3 linked regions of the Caenorhabditis elegans genome follow. The protein of the gene in region 2 interacts with the protein of the main gene of each other region in a pairwise test. Each region holds a gene or a part of one and is shown on either strand. Other genes may lie near its edges. The genes, in order: grsp-2, insc-1 and ceh-45.

Region 1 (6,450 bases), on a different chromosome or scaffold from region 2:
TGTGAAGTTAAAAGTTTCTCTGATCAATTGCTCTGTTGAGGTTTTTTAATCTGTTATTTGGATATTTATTAGACCCAAAATAAAACAATAAACATTAGCACTTTACGACTAATACAAAATAATGCGCGAAACTGAGATGAATGAGATCGTGTATGCGAGAGTTGATGACCGCGTGATGTGCAATTATTTGCAAATCATTAAGAACAGGGCTTGGGGCAGTGAGTGCGGGTCACCTTGTTCTTCTTGGTGGGTCGATAATCAAACATCTTTGCACCAACGAGAACGTTTAGAGATATACAGAGGGAGAAAAGATGGAGAAGGTCAGCAGCCGGCAGTAGGCTCTTTTCTTCTTTAGATGGAATGGTTGATGGCAATCTGGTGAGAATAACATATTGAAAGTGTGAGAAGAAATCACAGTAATCCCGGAATATAATGCAAGAGAAAATCAGAGCATCAGATATGCTAACTTTTATGATCCAAGGAACAGCTAAAGTGCATTATAGATGCGAAAGTTTTAAAACTTTATTTTCGCGCATATCTGGAATTTTCAAAAAAAAAAAGGACAAGATTTTTCATTTCTAATTAGAACTATTTGCAAGCACAATAAAATTCAAATACCTTTTATTCTCGCAGTTTTACAAATTTACGGATTTTGAACAGTAGCAAATAGAATTGAAAAACTGCTTACTTCACAAACATTATACCGAATACTTTTACTCGTTAGCAATTTTTTCAAATGGATGTATTAATTTATTTTATTTAACGTTATATAGAAAACTGTATAATTTCAAAACAAAGACTTAATCCAATTTGTAAAAGATCCCAGTATTCCCATTCTTTTAGGCTTTCCATTTTTCTTCAGAGTTTGGCACTTTTTCACAAGTTTCTTATTTTGATCGTCCACAAACAGAATGGCACTTTGAGAAATGATTAATTCTTCTTTCAACAGAAAATTTTCAAGTCTGGAAGTTTCCCATTAAACATTGAACGCAATGTCAACTCACTTGTAGTTGTCCAATTCCCGTTTGATTTTATTTAGTTGTTCCTGTAGTTGATCTTCTCTGCTATTTCTTTGCGGCCTCATAATTTTTCTAATAGTAAGTCAAAAGAAACCGCTTTGAGTTTTAGGAAGAGGTTAAGGGAGACAATGGTGAATAGGAAATGAGTAGGAAGACAGGTAGGCAGACAGCAGGCTAGAATAACATAGATGACGTAGAGACCGTTGGGTATTACCAACTGCTAGTGGCGGTCGTATATAGAAAAATACAGGAAACAGGAGATTGCAAAACAATAATGACGTCTTGGAAACTATGAGAAGGTAACATTTATAAATATATTATATCAAGCAAACAAATTAAACAAGAAAAAACAACGATTTTATTATAGTACTTTTGCCAAAAAGTATTGCAAAACAAAAAGGTAATACATTAGGGATTCCGAATCAAAACTTGATTGAGGTGTCAATTGCAGTTAGTTTGAAATTAAAGTTGATATTGAAGACATTTACCATCCACGTCCCCATCCACCCCATGATGGGCGTCCCCATCCCCAGCGGGATCCACGTCCCCATCCTGGAATAATATTTGCAAAATTATAAAATCGGGGAAAAATTAATTTGGGTTATTTAAAAAAAAAACGAGAATGTACAAGGTTATAACGAATTAACATAAAACAATTAATGAGCTGTTTATGGTAACAAAGGTTGCTAAACACTCCAACTCACCATCACCTCTACCACCCCATCCAACACCACCATGACCTGAATTAGTAGTGAAAAAGTGAATCAATTTCCCGAATATTTCGATTTCCAAGAAAAAAACAATGTGATACATAACGTGATGTGAGTAATAATGAATTCAATGCAAAGTAAAATCAACTCTTACCTCCCCATCCGCCTCCTCTTCCGCCGCCTCCCCAACCTCCTGGACCTTGTTGTCCACCGCGACCTCCTAAATGTTGAAATGTTTTTATACATATATTAAAAGATAACACTAACCTCCTTGTTGACCTCCTTGGTTACCCCATCCACCTTGGGAACCACCTTGGGAGCCACCTTGTGATCCGCCTTGTCCTCCCCATCCACCTGGAAGATTGTGATCAATTATGCATGTTTTTTGAAACGATTTTCAACTTTTCATCAACCTATTCACAAGTTCTTTACTGTGATGGTAAACTTGCATCACCTTATTTGGTTTTCCAAGTCACACTTCCCCACTCTCATCGAATGTGAAGTTTTCAAATTCTTAGCTCCTCTTGCCCCAACTCTATATCTCTGTTTCTTTTTCTTTTTATTCAAAAATATAATAAAATCACTCACCTTGTTCACCTCCTTGATTTCCTCCTCGTCCACCACCACCTCCTTGATTGCCACCTTGTCCTCCTCCATTCTGTCCTCCCCATCCACCTTGAGATCCGCCATCTTGGCTTCCTCCCCATCCGCCTTGACCACCGGATCCTCCTCTTCCACCTCCACCATTTTGGCCACCTTGAGAGCCTCCCCATCCACCGGCGTTTGAGTTGCCTCCTGAAATAGTTTAAATTTCATATAACCTTCAAAATTTCAAAATTCATTGAACTTTAGTTTTCTCAAAAATAGAAATCAATCAATTTTTTGAAAATCAATATTGTATGTTTTTCCCACAAACCTTGTTGTCCACCCCATCCTCCTTGGCCGGATCCAGAATCACTTCTACTTGATCCTCCCCATCCACCGGATGATCCACCTTGTGAGCCTCCTTGTGATCCTCCCCATCCTCCAGCACTACTTCCACCGTCTTGGCCTCCCCAACCACCTAAAATCATTGAACATTCGTAAGACGTGATGAGATAACAAGACGATGATCATACTGTGTTTTTTCGTATGTATAATAATTTAATTCCAATATTTTAAAGGTTAAAATGAGATGTGTTTCACTCAGGAGGTGGGAGATGTGAAAACTCCGAAAAAAGTAGGTGAGGCCCGTGCATGAATTCCGCAATCCCCTTACCTGATCCACTTCCAGATCCTCCAGCTCCTGCGCCTCCTGATCCTCCTCGTCCACCACCGCTACCACCTCCGCGTCCTCCTCCAGATCCTCCACGACCACCACCTCGTCCGCCACCTGTTCCTCCTGCAGATGCTCCAGCACTTGCATCAGATCCTCCCCATCCTCCAGATGAACCGATTCCACTTCCAGCATCAGATCCACCAAAGAGACCATCACCTGAATCACCGCTTATACCTTGACGACCTGGGGATCCTGTTAAACTTTGTGATGTGTGAGATAGTGCAAGTGAGCAAAATTTGCAAATGTGTTTAATGTGATGTTAAGCACAAAATCATTGTAAATTTTCCTTTCAAAAATGTTATGTTTTAGAATTGTTGCGTTAGAAACTTAAAGAAAACACAACTTCGTGCAGAAAATAATCGATTTGAAATTCTTTTAGAAAAGCAAAGCAAATAACTAAATAAAAGTACCTAATAAAAATTCTTACCCTGAGCTGCCACGTAGGCTAAAACTACTGCAAGAAGCAGCAATGTGAGCCTCATTTTTGATACAAAGCTGAAATAAAATTATTTTTAAAACATATCGAAAAGTGGAAACTGGAAAAGATTTTGTCGGTAATAATCCTTTTATAAACCAGAGAAATATAAAAAATCACGGAAAATGAGAATAGTTTTGACACAGTCGTTTGATCAAATTGTCTGATTTTGTTTCTTCCTTTTATACGTCCATCTTCATCAACTGAAGATAATAACAATTTGTCCTCTTCTTTCTATCTATCATTTGACAAAGGAGATGATGACATGACGCATCCAGACCGTTACTACCATAATACACTCTTCACTTCCGCTTATTCGTCTAATTGTGACAAAAAAAATCAAAATTGAAAAAAAATGCCATGGTGGTATAATTGTTCACTTAAAAATGTTCAAAATGATTCATTCAATCTATTTCAAGAGAATATTTTAAAAAGAAGAATTTTTTTTGCGAATTCTTGGCTTGCTTCCGGTTCAAACTAATAATTATGTTTCGTATTCTGTTTTTCAGTTTATTAAAGATCTTGAAGTTAAACGTTAATTTTGATATCAATACTGATTACACGGCTTTCCATTATTCAGATTCCACTCTGGGGCTCCAGTATCCAGAAATTGGAATTTTAGATGAAGCTCAAAAATGGAACAGGGATGATCCCCAAAGGAGGGAGCCCCATCAGCCGAAAAATTGTTTGCAATGTAAATAAGTAAGCCCATATTTATACAGGAAATGCATATTTTAATTTTTTAAAAGTTAGAATAGAACTGCTTTATTGAATTTTATTTTGCTTTAATATACTTTAATATGCTTTAATAATAAACTTTAAAATGTCTGAGAAAGCCATTCCTGAAACATTCAAAACTCAATCGTATTCTTCGTGAGAAAAAACTGGTAAAACCGAAACAAATGTTGTTGATCTCTAGACTATCAGGGTATATAGCAATCAAGAAGGAAATGAAAAAGAAGAAGAAGACGAGAATGGTCAGTTTATGAAACAGTGTGTGTTTGGAGACGATTGAATGATTGATTATTGTTGGAAACTTGTGATGACTTCAAGAAGAAACGATAGGTCAGAATTTAAACAGAAACTGTGATAGGATACATTTATTTTCTGACTTCTGTTTTGTAACACAAAAATGTAATTTTTAGAGAGGAAAATGAATCAAAAAAATAAATCTGAGTAACTACAAAGTACAGAAGTGATATAACTATTTTGTAAAGAGTTTTTTCTTTCCACGATACTCAAATCTTCATCAAAGTACCAGTCAAAGCAGCGCAAATGTTTCCAACACTATTAACTCATTTAAATAGAAAATTGGGAGGTTTTTGTTTCTTCACAGGTAAAACGGAATTACTGAAAATTGGCTCAAAATGCCGCAGGCTGCTCCATGGCGAACAAACTGAGGTCCGCCGTTGGTCTGTCCCCAGCTGAAAGGCTAATCTCTTTTTAGTACTATAACGTTATAGTACGTATTCATGAGTAACTTTTTAAAAGGAATCTGTCAAATATCCCGAAAGAGGAAAAACTCTGTCTATGAGCTTGTTCGTCCAGATGCCCTTAGCCAATCAATCAGAACTGTCAAAAGTTGTGGAACAATCAATCAAAATTCAATGCACATGAAACTTTCTTCAATCATATATGTTTTCAAACAGATCACTTCTCGGCATAATTTCAGCCAATTGCAGCTAATTTTCCAAGAAAAAATATTCCTGGTTCAGACTGTCGCGGGACAAAAATGGCTGTAATTTTTAGTTATTTCCAGGCCCAAAACGTTTCAAATTTCTGCTAATTTATTGTTATTTTTTGAAAAAAAGATGGTGTTTCTTTCTCATATCATTTTTTGAGTTTTAGTTATAAAATGTGCATTATTATTCACGTCTGTTGCATTTATAAATATATATTTTTCTTTCACATATGTCTATGGATTTTCGGTTTTCTAGGGAGGAATTTAGTCATTGAGGAGCTAATCATAATTGAGTTTGCATTATTATTTTCAGTTTTTTCTGATGTGTTTTTGGTATGTTTCTTTCTTTTTTCTTGGAATTTAGGTTATAGAATATAGTGGTAGGTTGTATTTTATTTGTAATTTGTAATATTGCTTACCGATTTAATTTTTTTAAAGAATTTTTTTTAAAGAAAGTGAAAGTCAGAGATATAACTTTTCAAAAACTGAAACAAAAACTAAAATTTCTCACTGATCACTGTATACAGGTTTTTTTTTAAATTTAAACCTTAACAAAAACCTGCTAATATAATTTCATACAATTTTAGCTAATTTATCACAATTCTCTGAAATCGTTATTAGTTTGTATTACGATCCAGTTACAAATATGTGGAAGATTTCACAAAACAGAAGATCAAAAGTTCAAATGACCAATTTTTAAATATTTTTGTAAGATCCTTGTTAGTTTATAATAGCTCCTTATTAGTCTGAAGTATCCACGGTACATGGGTCCTTTACTCATCAAAATCTGAGTCAAATCCTAGACAACTCACTCCACCCACTGACTAGTTGTGGTCCCCTCGTGAAGCAACTGTTCCACTATATCTCTAAACTCTCTAAGATCTGTAATATATCTGAATTTCTCATTATCTCTTATCACAAGAGAGAAAGAGTACGCAGAGAGGGAGAGAAGAGATGACCCGAGTTGACCAACTTGCAAAATGAATAAATTGAGTTCAGATTTTGTGTAATAACTACTAGGATCACCTGAGTGTATGTTCATCTCGTGTTCTTCTTATTCAAATCACTTGTTATTTAACTAAGACTACTTCTAAATAATTTCATGCAATTTTGATCTCTAAAAATATTGAGAAAATGCAAACTGGTCGGCCTCCACCATTTTTCAAGCAAATGCATTATCCTCACGGTTAGTTTCAAGTTTAATGATTTTTTCGTTTTACAAACTTTAGATACTCATCTAAATGCTC
Region 2 (8,617 bases):
TCCGTATCCCTCACTGTTTCAGCTGCAGTCTCCGTTACAGAAGTGCCAGCATTTTCGGCAGTTGTATTTAACAATCGATGATAATCGAAAGGATTTGAAGTGAAAACGAAGTACCAAACAAGAACTTGAATGAATCCGGAAAGAATAGACCAAATGACAGAAAACCACAATCCGGGGAAGTATAGTTGATTCGAGTCCTCGGAGAAAGCCAGAAATTTGATGAGAGATAATGAGTAGACGACTACTGCATTGCAAATCACCACAGGAAACAAAACTTTAACTTTTTCCCTCTTGTTGAGAATAATGAGAAGAACCGCGATAGCACAAAATGATTGTCGTATGAATGAGAAGATTTGAAATTCGTATGGAGTTGTTGTGAAGTGATAAGGAAGGGAGAACGTGATGATGCCCAAAAATGAGTCATAATTGAACTTCCATCCTGGAGCAAAATACCCAAATGAGACGTTAGTGATAGCTGCATCAATTAGCATGTACAGGTATAACGACGTATTGATCCATCGGTGCATCTTAAAAAATTAAATCTAGAAATTTAACGCGATTCGAAAGAGGGAAAACGAAAATAAAAGAGCGATGTTTGCCTATTCACTCTCATAGGGAACGGCAAATGAACAAGACATCAGTATCAAAGACCAGAAACAGAAAATGGAGAAAAGCAAAAATATGGCATTTATAAAATGGGAGTTCTGAAATAAAATGTGATACACGAGACAATGGGCGGAGATTACGGCATGATTACGAAATATGAGGAAACACTAGGAATGACTCATGCACTAAATTATTGTTTTAACAAAAAGTCGATAATTATATTGAATTCTCAAAAATACTATAGAGATCAACTGTGCTTGTAAAACTTCAATAAATGTTGGTTTAGAATTTTAATTAATTCTTATCGGATAATAAAAATTTGGCTCAAATTCTCAATTTTTAGGTCCGGTCTTTATTTTAAATAGTTTTCCTAGAAACAAGGTTTGTGAAATAACAGAAAAATCTAGCAATTTTCTACGATAAAACTTGAAAACTAGAAAACGTAGCTTTTACATCTACAGTAAAATTCAGAAAAGTGCTTTGTCGATTTACGATAAACAACGCGACGAGTGTCATTTCGGAGTTTCGTTATTCAAGTTGCCTGTGCCCTCTACATCTTGTACACTGTCTCGCGTTCTGAAAAATTTCCAGGCCTAGAAAATGATTCAAGTGAAGCCTGAAATATAATCTTGATATTTTTCCAAAGATAATTGATACAATGTTCTTTTGTAAATAAATCCTTTTGTAATTTTCATATTATTCTAATGCTTTTTGGGGAAAGGTTTTCGGAAAAAAGGTTTCCGCATTCTAAAAATATTCCAGACAATCCCTATTTGATGAACAATTGGTGGTGGTGGGCGCAAAAATCCACTTGGAAATCAACCATATGTCACTCATCAACCCCACTGTTTTGTGACGTTTTGATGCGGAGCCAGAAGGAAAAGAGACACTCATTTATCTTTTTTATCATCAAGAAGCGGAGAATCACAGCGGGTTTTTTGGCTGATTTATATCCTCTATGAACCCACGAGATAGGTGTTATTCTCCCAAATCACACCGTTTATTGCCCTTTAAATTTTAATAGGTTTTAGAGAATTCTACAGTAGTCAGAAAAATACGTGTTGTTTAAACTTATTGTTAGAACAAAACGAAATTCTAGCTGTTCAGTGGAGGCACTCATCATAAAAAAAGTTAATTATCTTTGCAGGAACAGTAGACAAAAACTTATTAGCAATAACCTTTAGTTTCTTCTAGGAACAATTGTGTTTTAGTGTAATTAGGTTACCTGGGGGTATATATCATGTAGAATGAGCATTTTTCGCTTATAGAAATTTATTTGAAGAGTCTCTTCAAAATATACAAAAAAATTAGATTTCACTTCTAGAAGCTTCTGCCTAAACTTAAACATAATTTAAACTTTTAAATTAAAACTTCAAACTTTTTTAAACTTTGTTAAACTTGAAAATCACAGATTTTTTTAAAATTTGACCAAACTCCGGAGTTTAGGTCTGAGGTAGGCGCGTTTATCAAATCATACCTGAAGCTCTAGTAAATTTAAATCTATATATTCAACTGAAAAAGTTTATTGAAAAGTGTAGAAATTCAGCTTTGTGGCATGATTAAATCACCAGTTGGTATTTTGTTGGAAAAAAAATGTTTAGACACACTTTTGGTAAATTGCCAAAAAATGCCAAAACGTGTGATTTGAACACCATCTATAGCTTATAATATTTGCGTAAATATACATTTTTATTAGTCTTCCAAAGACGATATGACATTAATTTTCATTTTAACTCTAAAATTTTTTTCTGTTTTTAAATGTTCTGATACTTATAATATATTCAAGATTTTTTATAAATTAAAATTAAAGTCTGCACATCTTATCATATTATGTAGTACACAAATTGCTCCTGTGGGTGCTCATCTTGCTCTCTTTCTCTCTATTTCTGAGATATTGTGACCTCTACCCTTCCGCCTGCTTTGTAACTCACCAGCTGATTTGCATTCCCTCAAAACATGTCCAATGCATTCAACTAGACCGGAACCCAATTGGCATATTTGCTCCACAAATTTTTTGACATTTCGTTTTTTTTCGTTCAATCTTACTTCCGCCTGCCTCCCGCGTCCCACGTCGATTCATCTCTTCTCACTTGCCGCGCGCATGAACTGATCCCGAATAGAGAAGTCTATGTTTGTTTTGAGAAACTCATCATTTATCACCTTCACTTTTCTCTGTGTCTCTCTATTTCATACAATATTCACAAGGTCCCGATGGGCTTCCCACTTGGATATTATCGCGCATTGACAAGAAGAGACACACTTCTTACAACAATATCTTTATAAAATTATGAATATACTTGGAGCGTCCTAGTGAAAGTGACAACTAATAATTAGAACTGCTCGTTTCTTTCACTTTTCATTCTTTCTTTTCAATTTTTACTTTTTTCAGCTAAATGCTCATATAAACATGGCCCGATTGGCCCGATTCTGGGATTCCCTGGAAAACGAGAATTTATTCGATATAGTTCCACAACCTCCAAAGGTCTCAATTTATTGTTATTAAAATTTATAATAGAAAGAAATAAAAAAAAGAGACCCTTCTAAACTTTAGGCTTTACTTGAAAAATGCTTTCAAAAAATTATTGTTAACTGATACAAAGAAGCAATCTCTTGGAAATATTTTTGATGAGCTTGAAACATTGCAAAAATCAGAAATCAGATGAAAACTGTTTATTAATAAAAATTAATTTCAGTCTACTGTAACCCGGTTTCATCAGCAATGGCTCTCAAGTTTGGCAAATGCCCGAGACGACGAGCTCCAAACAATTTTATATGCAAAACCATTGCTTCCAACTCCGGAATCTATCGTACAATTACCCGATGAAGAATATTATGGAGCCAAGAAAATCTCGGTCGGCTACAGGTAAAGTGGTTGTTTGTTGTTCAATGCACAGGGAGTCGGGTTACCCGACTAGTTGCGGTCATTCAAATCATTTTGCTCTTCTTTTTCGCTTTACAAGCTTCTTCTTCTTTACTTTAATGAAATATTTTAGCAAAAATTTTGTAATTAATTTTTGTTGTGTTCCGCCAAGAAATTGGATGCGAACAGGTGTCATCTTGGCCGCCATCTTCAAATAATTAATGACTTTTCTCAAGTTGTTGAGCATGTCTCTTTCCGAGATTCTTTGTTACTTTCTATCAATATCTCTCGTCTCGTATAAAGTTCTTATATACAGAAGTTTGAGAAATAAGTTATTTTATCCACATTTTCTTTCAAGCTTCCAACTCCAAAAGTCAAATCAAAAAAGCAAACAGTAGCTATTGGTGCGAAAAGATATTTACCGCGCGGAATGGGAAAGAGATAGTTTGCAATTTGATCCGCATTAAGAATAAATTCATTATTTCATTCATTTGTAGTATTATTGATTACTTTCAAATCAATGGTTCTTCGGTAATTCAAATCATCAAAATTTTAAAATATATAAATTAATTGTTATTTTATTTTCAGCAAATCAATGTTATCAACTTCATTGGGCAATATATCAGCTCCTCCAAAACCTCAAAGGAGGATAGCAAGGCTACGAAGTGGAGCAAATGATTGTGCAGGTAGTAACAAAATGAAAATTACTTTATAAATGTTACAACTTTCAGCAAGTCTTCCTCAATTGTTGGAAAGGAATTCTATCGCTGAGATGATGAACAACAGTCTGAGTGACAAGTATAACTCAAGTAGCACTACTTTGTGCTCGTCCGTTCATGCTGGTAAATATTTTGTGGAGAATTTAAAAGTTGATAACGATAGTGAGAGAGCTAAAACACGTCAAATGCCCTTAAATTTTTCAGAAAGAAAGAAACTTGATACCTTGCAAAAATGAAATTATTCTGGATTTTAGGCAGTATCATTTTTTCAATTTTTGCGCAATACAATTTTAACGATTTTTTCTTGAATTCATCTGGACTAGATAGAAAACAATGCAACTTAAAAAAAGGAATCAAGAAACAAAAAGTTGACTCCCAACATAAATTTTATGAACTCTCTTTTCCTTAAACTTTCCCTAGAGCACTGGGAAAACTTGCGGCATAAAAATGCTTTCAAGTTTTGAACATTTCCGTCCTGTTTCTCAAACTCGAGTTTTTATAGAGTCTTGCCCAACGGACACCGAGGATGCAATAATTCGAAATGTGAGTTCACTTTCTTTTATTCCTTCGTTTTTTCTCGTTTTCTATCCCTTCACCACCCCTTAAATTTTATCTTAATTGCTTCGTTGATTGGCAACACATGTTGAACCATTCAGATCAAGTTGCCCGGCTTCCGAGGAAACATTTCACGAGCTCTGAGCCAAAAGAGCAACTCTCCATCTGGTTGTCGAACACCAACTCCTAAAACAGCGCCTCCGTCGTATGAACAGTTTCAGGTTTTGCGACGGAATTCTATGAAATGTGAGTAATTTTTATTTCGTTATCTTTTGCTGGAAAAATTGAATTTTTTCAGCTAGTGTGCAACCACAAAGAAATGGAATTTTGTCTCCGGCCCCACCAGTTCCAACTTCTTCAAGAGCAAACACAATAACTGTTAATGGAGCACATGTTCAACAGGCAATGAACAGGTACTAAATAATTATTTTTAACATTAAAGATAAAATAATTTTGCAATTACAGAATAGACATGAGCACTGACAGCGCAAATACAATTCTCCGATCTCCATACAGTACTCGTTCGGATAGCATCACAAGTGTCGACTCTGGACAATGTTCCGGAGATCAAATCGAACGAAGATCAAATTGTTCAACTCGACAAGAAAGTAAAGATGATGATGATACAGGGATGCCAAGCTATGCGAGAATGGCTAGTCAGTAGTCATTATTTGGAAATTGAATTTTTAAAGAGAAAATTCAGGTACAATGGATCATGTTCTCAGAACATCATCTGCTTTGTATACTCTTCTTTCTTCAGCTCTGGATCCAGCAACTTGCAGAGATTTGTTGGCAAAGGTATTTTGTGCATACTGAATTAAGTTACAAAAGTTAATATTTAAGTCTTCTGTGTTCATCCAACTGCTTGAATCATCTCCATGTACAAATTATCTTCCAAAGACTGAAATGGCTCGATTAAAAATGAATGTTCAAGAGTTACAAAAGTAAATCTATTATTGAAACAAATTAAATGTTACCTTACGTTTTTCCAGAAATCGAGATAAAGGAATAATTGACATGAATAATATGACAAACTTTTTTGCGATTCTTCTCAGAAAGTCTATAGAATCAGTACTTTTGGTGTTTGTGAGGGTAAGTTACTTTTAGTTTAACTATTCAATTCATTCAAATATTTAATTTCAGATAATATCCAAGAATCTATGTGAAAGTAATGGAAAAGATCGTCTGACACCTATTTGTTTAGAGCATCTTATTCATATTTGTTTATTTGGAGATGAACTTTGTATTGAAGCAATTCAAAAAGGATGCATCTCATCAGTTATTCGAATTATGAAGAATGATCAACCACAGGAGAACACTCTTAGATTTTTACTTCGAACATTGGCAGTGTTATGTGGAGTTTCAAAAGGAGCACTTGCTTTGCTCACGGTAATTAGATATATTTTATAATCAATACTTTTCAATACAAATTCAATACAAATTCAATCAATACAAATTGATTAATTTCAGCAAGGAGGCTTGGATTTGGTTATTGATAGACTTTTATCCATTTCCTCATCAATCTGTTCCGTCGAGGCAGCTGGTATTCTGACACAACTTACCAATCCTCAGTCTGCATTCATTCGGTTAAATCATGTGGAACCAATTATATCCAGACTTTTGGGTAACCAATTTAAATATAAAAATTGGAGACTAAATAATTAATTTCAGATCTAATAGATCAATGTAAATCAGGTGACTCTTTGCTTTTGGCAACCGCTGCATTGAACAATGTGACACTTCAGAACCCAAATGGAGTTGATATTATGTACAGGTTTGTTGAATTTTAAGCATTTAACTATTTTCGCAAAAGCTCAGTACAAAATTAAATTTGAACCAACATTAAATTGAGCTATAGCACGTAATTGTAGAAAATGAATGCAAAATTTCAAGGCGAATTCCTTGTTCTAACTTTTGTAGCAATTGCTACAAGTTACCTAGAAACTACAAAACGGTAAACCAGCCTACCAGATAAAACTGAAAACAGTCTCGAATTTAAAAAAAAATCTGAAAATTTATAGGATCGCTCTCTATTTTGGGATTTTGAAAAGTTTTTTGCAACATGTAAATGTAAATATTTTCAGAAATAATTCAATTCGTCGTCTGATATCTGCTTATAATCGAGAAAATTGTGCCACTGTCTTCGTCCAGGAACAAATTGTTACAGCCTTTTCTCGCCTTGCCGCCCGTCATTTAGATCATCAAATGGTTGATCAAAATGCAATTCCAGTGCTTCTTGAATTTTTATCCCTTACCCATCCAATCCATGCGGATTACTGTAGAAGGATACGGTACAAAGCTGCTGTATGTATTGGTACTTTAGCTAACAGTGAAATTGGGCTCAAAGCCTTGTATGGTAATAATGGTGAGATTTTCAGAATTATTCAACGTTTCATATATGTTCAAGTTACAGCCTACGCAATTTTGAGCAATGTGCTTTATGATGACAACAACTCTTCAAATCCATTTAATATGATATGCAACAATATTCGCACAAAGTTGGAATCTAAATACCAATCTGAAAGTGCAGTATAATATTCAAATATCTTCCTTTGTTAAACAAACAAACACAAGAATCTGTGATAAAATAAAATTCATTGAAAACCTGATAAAAGTTCGATTGTACATTCATATAATTTAAGCATGACAGTTTCTTGGATCTCCTCCTGACAGAGCATAGTCCTTCACCTTATTGACAAAAGAATCCTTTAATCCGTACTCTTTTGCAAGACGCTCAAGATCGTGGAAGTCCTGGAAGCCAGCACAATATGCGTTCAATTTTGTGGCAAGTTCTCCTTCAGCAACTTGAGTATCAAGAAGAGACAGTTCATCGAAAAGAATCTTCTTTTGACGGAACCAATATTTTTGATGGTAATCTTCAGCTTGATAGAACTTGTCCAATGGCTCAATATATGTTTCAATGTCTCCATGCTTGTCCTTTGCTACTTTCAAAGTTTCTTCAGCGACTTTCTTTTGGTCGTCATTTACGTAGAGAATCGCAGATTGGTATTGCTGAAATTGAAACGAATTAATTTGAAGTTTAAATGTATTTTAACCTAAAAAATTATAATCAATTAGAACTTACTTTTTGTTACGTTTTCCAGTAGAACAATATTTGAAACTTTAAAGTCAATTCGAAAATTACCTTCTTTCTCCTTTCAGCTGGGTTGTGATGCTTCCAAAAGAAGTTGGTGAGCTTTGAGTATTCAATAACTTTTGGATCAAAAGTGATCTCTGTGATTTCAGTATGATCCTTGATATTCTTATAAGTAGGATTTGGTTGTTTTCCTCCAGCATATCCAACTCGTGTCACCACAACTCCTTTCAGCTTCGCCCATGCAGATTCTCCCCAGAAGCACTGAAGACCAAAATAGGCACGCTCCAAATAAGCCATGTTTCACCTGAAATTATATCGGATTGAAAAAGGTTTTGAGTTTATAAAGGAATTAAAAAATTAGTAAACAATGTAAAAACGTATGTTTCACAGTCAATTTATATACAAATCGGGGCGGAATCAAAATGTGATTCCTGTAAATTTTGCGATTACATCAGAAAGAGGAAAGAGACGCAGAGGGAATCGATGAAGAAGACAAGTAGAAAAGAAAACATACAATGTTAGACGCAGGCATATAGACACGACATGCTTTATCATCATTCTGCCAGCAGTGGTAGACGAAGAAAAAGCAGATGGCCAGTCAGAAATGATGACATAGATCGCTTTTTGGTAAAGATGTTTCTTTTGATGATATTGAGTACACGTTGGGTTCAATGGACAATAACTGAGCTTTTCCATGAACTTTCTTTTGATCAAAATAGTTTCTAATTTTAGGCCCTGTATTTTTCGTTAGAAATTGCAAAATGTTCAATGTACAAATGA
Region 3 (7,657 bases), on a different chromosome or scaffold from region 2:
TCCAAGATGAGGCAAACTAATAATTTATGTGTCGTGTAAGTGTATGTGCATGTACAAATTGAGAGCAAATAATGATACAAATATATGACACATATTGAGTTTCTAGAAGCTCTCTAGGGCTCTGCCCTGAATTACATTTTTAACATTTTATCAGAAGAGCGCGATTGCACTCTTGCACGTGGTGTCAGAATGTCCCATTTTGGTTTGATCTCCGAGAAATGCGGGAGAAGAGACGCAGACTTTTCTACTGATTTTGCATGGTTAAGAGTGTACTGTCGTCACAAATTCCTGGGGGAAAAATTTCCGCCATTTTTGTAGATCAAACCGCAATGAGACTGACTGACACCACGTTATTTTGTTTCAGTGAAGTTTGCAGACTTCTTCTGATTCACGTAGTGCCAGGCTGTCTCCTTACGGTTTGATCTACAAAAAAATGCGGGAATTTTTTGCCCGAAAAATGTGACGTCAGCTTGAGAACTTTGCGTCTCTTCTCCCGCATTTTTTGTAGATCATAGATCAACGTAGATCAATCTAAAATGAGACACTGCTGATCAAATTGATCCAATTTTCAATGTTGTTTGAGACCGCTGTTCGAATTAAACGCAAATCTGGGTTCCAGAGCTAACGAATTATGATTTATCGGTAGAACGCAATTGCATTCGTAGATCAATGAACGAGTTTTTACAATTTCGCGGCCCCACAGAAAAGTCACGCGAGAAAAAAATTAACACAAGACTATAACTTTCTCACGTGGTGCCAGGCTGTCTTAATACAGTTTGATCTACAAAAAATGCGGGAATTTTTTGCCCTAAAAATGTGACGTCAGCACACTCTTAACCATGCGAAATCAGTTGAAAAGTCTGCGTCTCTTTTCCCGAATTTTTCGAAGATCAAAGATCAAACCAAAATGGGACACTTTGAGCTTCCGTGCTTTCTGAGCCCGTGTCTTTTTCCACACCCCGCTCATATATTTTTTCTAACAGCGAAAATTGGAATCTGCTTTCCTCTCTGTCATTCATAATTCAGAAATAATTCTAATTTCTTTGGAAAACATTGGATTAGCCTCTTAAAATGACTTCGCAACGTTTCCCACGAGAATTTGCAAAAGATTTGGGACCTTCGGCAGCGGGTGGGATTAGTGCGGCGGATTTTGACCGGATTTGCAGATTGGTGCATCGATGCAAAAGTAAACTGAAGAGAGTGGAACCCCCGAACAAGGGACTGGTGCCTTAAATCAGCGCCATGAGCCGCACCAATGGTCGGCGGCAGGTGCGAGAGGCGTAGGGGAGCCTGGAGACAGCTAGGTGTCACACCGCGGTGTGCAAACGCGCTCTGTTGAGAACATCATCAAATTTCCACATGATTACCTTCAGGGTAGGTATCTTAATACCGTACTTCCTCTTTAAAACAGTAATACCTTCCACACACACGCATAAATCGTTGCTGATAAAAATGCTAATTCGATTAATTTAGCAATGTGATTTTCCTTACAAACCCCCCTCTCCCCCCAAACGGCTACAGTAATCCGCCAGAGACCGGTCGGGCGGTGCGAATTTTACGGGGGATTATCTACAGTAACCAACCACCACAACAAAATGATAACGTGATTAGAATCGGATTAATTCGCCACATACATTTATTGACTTGACAAAATGAGAGGGGATGGGGGGGACTAGAATATAAAGAGGGGGTGGCCTGGATTTCCAGCTAGGTGGGGAATAGAGATTCAAATTATATGCTAACAAGGCTCCAACACCAAATTCTCGCTGTGCGATGTCTTCAGTGAGGCTTTTGATTCGGGCGAGCTCGTCTCTTTTCCGCTGGAATTTTCGCGTTTTATCCGTTTCACTTTTCGGGTGTCCTCGTCGCTCTCGTCACATTCGGAATCGTCTCCGCTGTGCTGAAAATGTAGAGAAATTTAGGTAAAAAAAAATCACTATTGGGTATTGAACCAAAAACTGTTGACACAAAAAACCGCGCCTACCACTGAGCCAATTTTACCGTTCTTGGCGGTGATGGAGGGAGACCGTGAGAGTACAGTAGAGCGCATTTGAAAATTAATTTTCAAAAAGTGTACTAGCTTACCTTAGAAGTCCGACTGTCGTCCTTCTTCTGCTTGCGCTCTTTTGCCCGACGATTTTTGAACCAGACCTGGAAGAGAAAATTTATTTAAAGAATATTATTTTAAAAATCGATTATTCAATTGATAAGGCACGTGGTGCTAGGCTGCCCCATTACAATTTGATCTACAAAAAATGTGGGAATTTTTTACCCAAAATTATGTGACGTCAGCACGTTCTTAACCATACAAAATCAGTCAAAAACTCTGCCACATTTCTTGTAGATCTACGTAGATCAAGCCAGCGCCGGCGGCCGAACTATGACGACGTCACTCCTCTTCCAGCGCCCCCCTCATCCTCTACAGGTTGAGATTTGCCGGGTTAAGTGAGTGAGGCAGGTGGAAGAAGATAAACGGAAGAAGAAGAGCTGTTGGTGGTGATGAAATAATTGAAAAGGGCCGACACGATTTAGGCAGGTGAGAGGTTGTAATTAGAGATTACCCCACAGACGGTTTTCCTCAGAAACACAGCTATATGGTATTATAGGGTTTAATGGACTCATTAACCCGGAATGTTCGGGTATTGTTTTTTTTTTTGCGAAAAAATAACTTTGAAATCTGTAAAAACCCGGGTAGTTGAAATCCGGGAAAACCCACTTTCGTGGATTTCAACTACCCGAGTTTTTTGTCTATTTCGCATAAGATTTTTAAAAGACCTTCAAAATGTGGTTAAAAACCACCAAAAAGCTTTAAAAATTCCGGAAAAAAACTCGGGTAGTTGAAATCCACGAAATTCAATTTCTATGGGGTTTCGGTCCCGTGGATTTCAACTATCCAAGTTTTTAAGTCTAATTCGCATAAGATTTTTAAAAAATCTTTAAAATGTTGTTCAAAACCACCAAAAAACTGTCAAAAATTTAGAAAAAAACTCGAGTAGTTGAAATCCGCGGAAACAAATTTTCCGGGAAAATGTGATTCCGCGGATTTCAACTACCCGAGTTTTTTTGTCTAATTTGCATCAAAATGTCGTTCAAAACCACCAAAAAGCTTAAAAAATTCTGGAAAAAAACTCGGGTGGTTGAAATCCGCGGAATTTAGATTTTGCGGGTCTTTTCAAAACTGTTTCAAATAATCTTAAAATTACTGAAAAGCCGCCCCAAGAGAACTACACGGCCAAGGATTGCTCCGCGCTTTTGTTAGGCCATTGAATTTTCTAGTCCCCAGGAATTTAATTTAGGCCAGCCAGTCTTACAAAATCGGTGGCCTAGGTGTGACGTCACTCCTCTTCCATTTACTCACCTCAACTCTTTCTTCCTTCAATGAGCACTGAACCGCGAGCTCTTCTCTCGTCGTAGCGTCCGGGTAGTGTGTCGTTGAAAATGTGGTCTCCAAAATGTTCAACTGCTCCTCGCTGAAAATGGTACGATGCCGGCGTTTTCGTCGGGAGGCGTAGTGTTGATGGTGATATGGAGCCATGAATGGAGGCATTAGTGGTCCGCAGAGCATTGCTGAAAAATTTTAGTTTTTGAACAGTAGAGCGCATTTTCAGCATCGCTTCCTTCTAGTTTATCACGTGGTGTCAGAGTGTCTCATTTCGGCTTGATCTTCGTTGATCTACAAAAAATGCGTGAGAAGAGACGCAGAGTTCTCAACTGATTTAGCATGACGTCACGATTTTTGGGCAAAAAATTCCCGCATTTTTTGTAGATCAAACCGTGATGGGACAGCCTGGCACCACGTGGTTTAGTTCTAATGGAGATTGTTATTGAAGCATGTGCGCTCTTTTGATAAACTACCGGTGTATCGACGTGGGCGATATTGATTTTTTTAAAAGTTCTTATCCAAATTCGAATTTGCGATTTTTTGAAATTACCGACAAAACGAAAAATGCGCTCCACGTGGGCCACACAAAAACTTACAGAAAAACGGATAATTAGCCGGATGAAACTGCCATGGCAGGGCAGAAGCCGCCGCTGCGGCTCCCACTGCTCCAAATGGATCTTGAAAATTGTGAAGCTGCGGAATTCCGGCCAACGGGTTCGAGAGCAATGTGTCAATTGAGAATGAGGTTGATGTGGACGGAGAGGAGGATGACGAGGAGATACTGGAAAATTGGGATGTTCCGAGAGGATTACACATGGAAAAATTTTGTTTTCACCCCCGTGGCCTAGAATGTCTTCAGAGGAAAACTCTTCCATGAAAAGCCCTTCACATATTTTTTAAAAATATTCCTAGGACACCATGAAATTTTCTAGGAGGATTTTGATTTTCAAAATGGAAGAGTTTGCAGAACCAGGTCATTTTGGCTCGGCCATATCTGGGGTAGATTTACGGCGCGTTGCGTGTCGCGTCGCGGCTTGAGTTTAGTTGTAAAACTAAGTGCATCTGTCCGTGTGGAGTACACGACTTTCCCACGCGTTGTCAGGCGGGCGATTGTCAATGGAGCACGAAAAATTCAATGAGAAACGCCAGAACACCGTGAATTTTCAAAAAAAAAAACAATTTAGAAATCTAAAATTTCAGGTAGAAATGGCCCCGGTGTACTTCTCTCGGACAAGTAGTGCAAAATTTTGTTTAGAATTTTGTATAAAAAATCTTGAATTTTCATTATTATTTATGGCAGTAAGAAAATTCTTTTTTTTTAATAAGTTGTCCGAGTGGAGTACGAACCTATTTAAAAAATATTTTAAGTGAAAAAAAAATGTTTAAAAAATGGAAAAACTTTTGAAACAAGTTTTGAAACAAAAAATTTTTGAAACAAAAAACTTTTTTTTAAAACTTTTTTATTTGATTTTTGCTTATACTAAATTGTACTTTACTAACACTACAGAACCCCCTTTAAAAGCCCCCCAAGGCTTCACACGAACCAAAAAAAAAAGGAACCAACCTTGCAGAATTCGGCGTCACCAATTTGTTCATAGTTTCAGGTGTCATTAAAAACGGGAAGGATGCCATGTGTCACACCGTAGTGGGGGATGCGATTCTTCAGTGTTGTTCCCCTCGTAGATCATCAGTGCCCGCCCACTTTTGTGCTTTTGGCGGTGATTGGGCCGGCACGCCCACTTTCTTCGTCGCGCGCCGACGTTTGGCGCAGTGGGGAAGAGAGGAGAGAGGTGTGAATAAATAGAGATTGAGAAACATTGAGGATCCCCTGCTTGTATCGGTGGCCTAGAATTTCGAATTTCAGTTTTCCGTTAAACATCGTGCCGGAAAATCGAAAAGTGTATAGAAATGACGTCATAAATGTATTTAAATACATTTCGAAAATCCTAGAACGTCTGTGGTCTAAAGCCTAAAACAAGGATTTCCTCGACTACAAGGACCAGGATTTGGCTTAGATTTTCCAATTTCTAGGCCATTGGGGTTTTCTAGACTACCAAGATTTTGTGAAACATATCTGAAAACAGCTTAAAATTGAAAAATTAAAGAGAACCCTCAAAATGAAGATATTCACTTGTCCGAGAGGAGTTCACACATTTTATTTTCATATTTAATAAGGCCTAGAATTTCGAATATCAAATTTTAAAATTCTAGGCCCCTCAGGTTTTTGTATTTTTGTACATTAAGATTTTGGTGTACAATGGGAGTACACATTGGAGAATAAATTTTGCAATTATATAGGCACGCGGTAGGCGGAGGTCGTTTTGAAGGCAGGTGAATTTTTTTATTTTCCAAGTTCAAATGTTGTTGGTTTTTAGAGTAGGCATGCGTGTAGGCAAAATGAATGCCTTGATAGGTACAAGGCAGGCCTTGAAGGTAGACCATGGTAGGTGGGGATAGGCTTTGATAGTCTTAGGGCACATTGATTGGTACAAGAAAAGTAATTGCACGTGGTGCCAGCCTGTTCCATTGCGGTTTGATCTACAAAAAATGCGGGAATTTTTTCCCGAAAAAACGTGACTTCAGCACATTCTTAACCATACGAAATCAGTTGAGAAGTCTCGTAGATCTACGTAGATCAAACTCTGGCGCCACGTGTAATAATAGGCACAAGCCATGCCTTGATAGGCTCAAGGTAGGCATTGAAGGTATTCCATGAAGGCAGGCATGCCTACTCGCTCTTACCCAGATATACATGTCATGGCAACTAGTCAACCTGTATACATACACACCCGTCTCTCCATTCTGTCAATTAGTTATCATGATTTACTGCCTGACGGCGGCGCGGCACAGTGTCAAGAATATGTAATATGTCTCTGTTTCTCCAATTCTCATGTCCCTTCTTCGGGCGAGGGTTTCAATTTGGGAAAGGTGGTGTGCATTCAAGTGTGAATATCTGTCGGTGATCCTTCCTTATTTTCTTACTTTTCATATCTGATCGTCCTTATTCGGATCATTCCCCTTATTATACACAGGTGTCCCTTCAGAATGGGGCGGCTGAAATTGAATAAGGGGGTCTGGAAAAACTTAGGATTAGGCTTAGTATTAGGCTTAGGCTTAGGCTTAGGCTTAGGCTTAGGTTTAGGCTTAGGCTTAGGCCTAGACTTAGGCTTTTGCTTAGGTTTAGGCTTAGGTTTAGGCTTTTGCTTAGGTTTAGGCTGAGGCTTAGGCTTAGGCTTGTGCTAGGCATAGGCTTAGGCTTAGGCTTAGGAGTAGTGTTAGAGTGTTAAATTTACCCTTTTTAGGATTTTTTACCGCAGAACTTAAGAGAATTCATCAAAAAAAAAAAGTTTGAAAAATTTTTTGTCCGAGTTTTTATTTTAAAGATTGACTATAACTGTTCTTGTGGTCTAAAATTCTCTAAAAACTCTTCCACGAGTCAAAATGTATAGATAATGACTTATACTCACCTAAAACTCTTTCAATACAGTATACTTTCCCACCAGACGAGTTAAGGTGTTAATGCTACCTCCCGCTGAGAGCCTCCCCCTGACACCTTTGCCCAAGAGCACCGCCCGTGCTTCCTGTGTCAAACATTACCCCATAAGTAACAAGAAAAAAGTGTTGAGATGGGGGAGAGGTGTGTAAATATTATAATGTTACTGTAGACTATATGGATAAGAAGATGTACTAGTCTAGGGGTCTATTGGATTAACTCCTTCTATACCATGGAAACATTCCGTTAATCCTGTGTTTACCGTTTTCATGGAGAGATAAAATATAAATTATAAAAGTTGTATCAAAGTATGAAAATCGTCAAGGAATTTTGGGAAAGGGCCGATTTTTTTTTGAAAAAAACTGGTTGAATAAAGTTTTTTTTTTCAATTCTTCGAAAATATGTTTAGCTTCGCTTTCCAAATTTTAGAGGCTTAAAATTTTAAATTTCAAAATTCCAGGCCACTGAGGTTTTTGGATTTTTGTACATTAAGGTTTTTTTTTGAACAGAAGGCGTACACAGAGGAAAATAAATTTTAAAATTATATAGGCACGCGGTAGGCGTAGGTCGCTTTGACGGCAGATTTACTTTTCTTTTTCCAAGTTCAAATGTTGTTGGTTTTTAGAGTAGGCATGCGTGTAGGCAAAATGAATGCCTTGATAGGTACAAGGCAGGCCTTGAAGGTAGACCATGGTATGGGCTTTGATAGTCTTAGGTTCACATTGGTTAGTATTTTTGTCTATTGTTTTTGAAATTAAAAAAAAACAATTTTTAACTTTCTT

What was found.
Region 1: the proteins of insc-1 (region 2) and grsp-2 interact in a two-hybrid assay, tested with the Caenorhabditis elegans proteins (one large-scale study listed by BioGRID).
Region 3: the proteins of insc-1 (region 2) and ceh-45 interact in a two-hybrid assay, tested with the Caenorhabditis elegans proteins (one large-scale study listed by BioGRID).

What each region holds. Positions count from the first base shown.
Region 1 is NC_003282.8:8,813,427-8,819,876, reverse strand, and holds grsp-2 (Glycine-rich cell wall structural protein 1.8-like), read right to left. Parts: upstream 3,530-6,450; coding exon 3,475-3,529; intron 3,240-3,474; coding exon 2,988-3,239; intron 2,793-2,987; coding exon 2,646-2,792; intron 2,525-2,645; coding exon 2,318-2,524; intron 2,084-2,317; coding exon 1,997-2,083; intron 1,950-1,996; coding exon 1,884-1,949; coding exon of another isoform or gene 1,873-1,883; exon of another isoform or gene 1,760-1,872; coding exon 1,724-1,759; exon of another isoform or gene 1,572-1,723; coding exon 1,504-1,571; downstream 1-1,503. Other genes in the region: T28C6.10 (Transposase), read right to left, coding at 788-962, 1,005-1,084; exc-5 (DH domain-containing protein), read left to right, coding at 6,338-6,389.
Region 2 is NC_003280.10:7,355,900-7,364,516, forward strand, and holds insc-1 (Protein inscuteable homologue C-terminal domain-containing protein), read left to right. Parts: upstream 1-3,013; coding exon 3,014-3,088; intron 3,089-3,299; coding exon 3,300-3,469; intron 3,470-4,054; coding exon 4,055-4,152; intron 4,153-4,197; coding exon 4,198-4,308; intron 4,309-4,687; coding exon 4,688-4,728; intron 4,729-4,841; coding exon 4,842-4,986; intron 4,987-5,038; coding exon 5,039-5,153; intron 5,154-5,205; coding exon 5,206-5,396; intron 5,397-5,443; coding exon 5,444-5,538; intron 5,539-5,583; coding exon 5,584-5,684; intron 5,685-5,732; coding exon 5,733-5,832; intron 5,833-5,883; coding exon 5,884-6,129; intron 6,130-6,210; coding exon 6,211-6,364; intron 6,365-6,411; coding exon 6,412-6,514; intron 6,515-6,824; coding exon 6,825-7,105; intron 7,106-7,153; coding exon 7,154-7,275; downstream 7,276-8,617. Other genes in the region: haf-2 (ABC-type antigen peptide transporter), read right to left, coding at 1-527; msra-1 (peptide-methionine (S)-S-oxide reductase), read right to left, coding at 7,378-7,752, 7,886-8,134.
Region 3 is NC_003279.8:1,125,716-1,133,372, reverse strand, and holds ceh-45 (Homeobox domain-containing protein), read right to left. Parts: upstream 5,050-7,657; 5' UTR 5,015-5,049; coding exon 4,947-5,014; intron 4,164-4,946; coding exon 3,979-4,163; intron 3,568-3,978; coding exon 3,359-3,567; intron 2,152-3,358; coding exon 2,086-2,151; intron 1,901-2,085; coding exon 1,739-1,900; 3' UTR 1,608-1,738; downstream 1-1,607.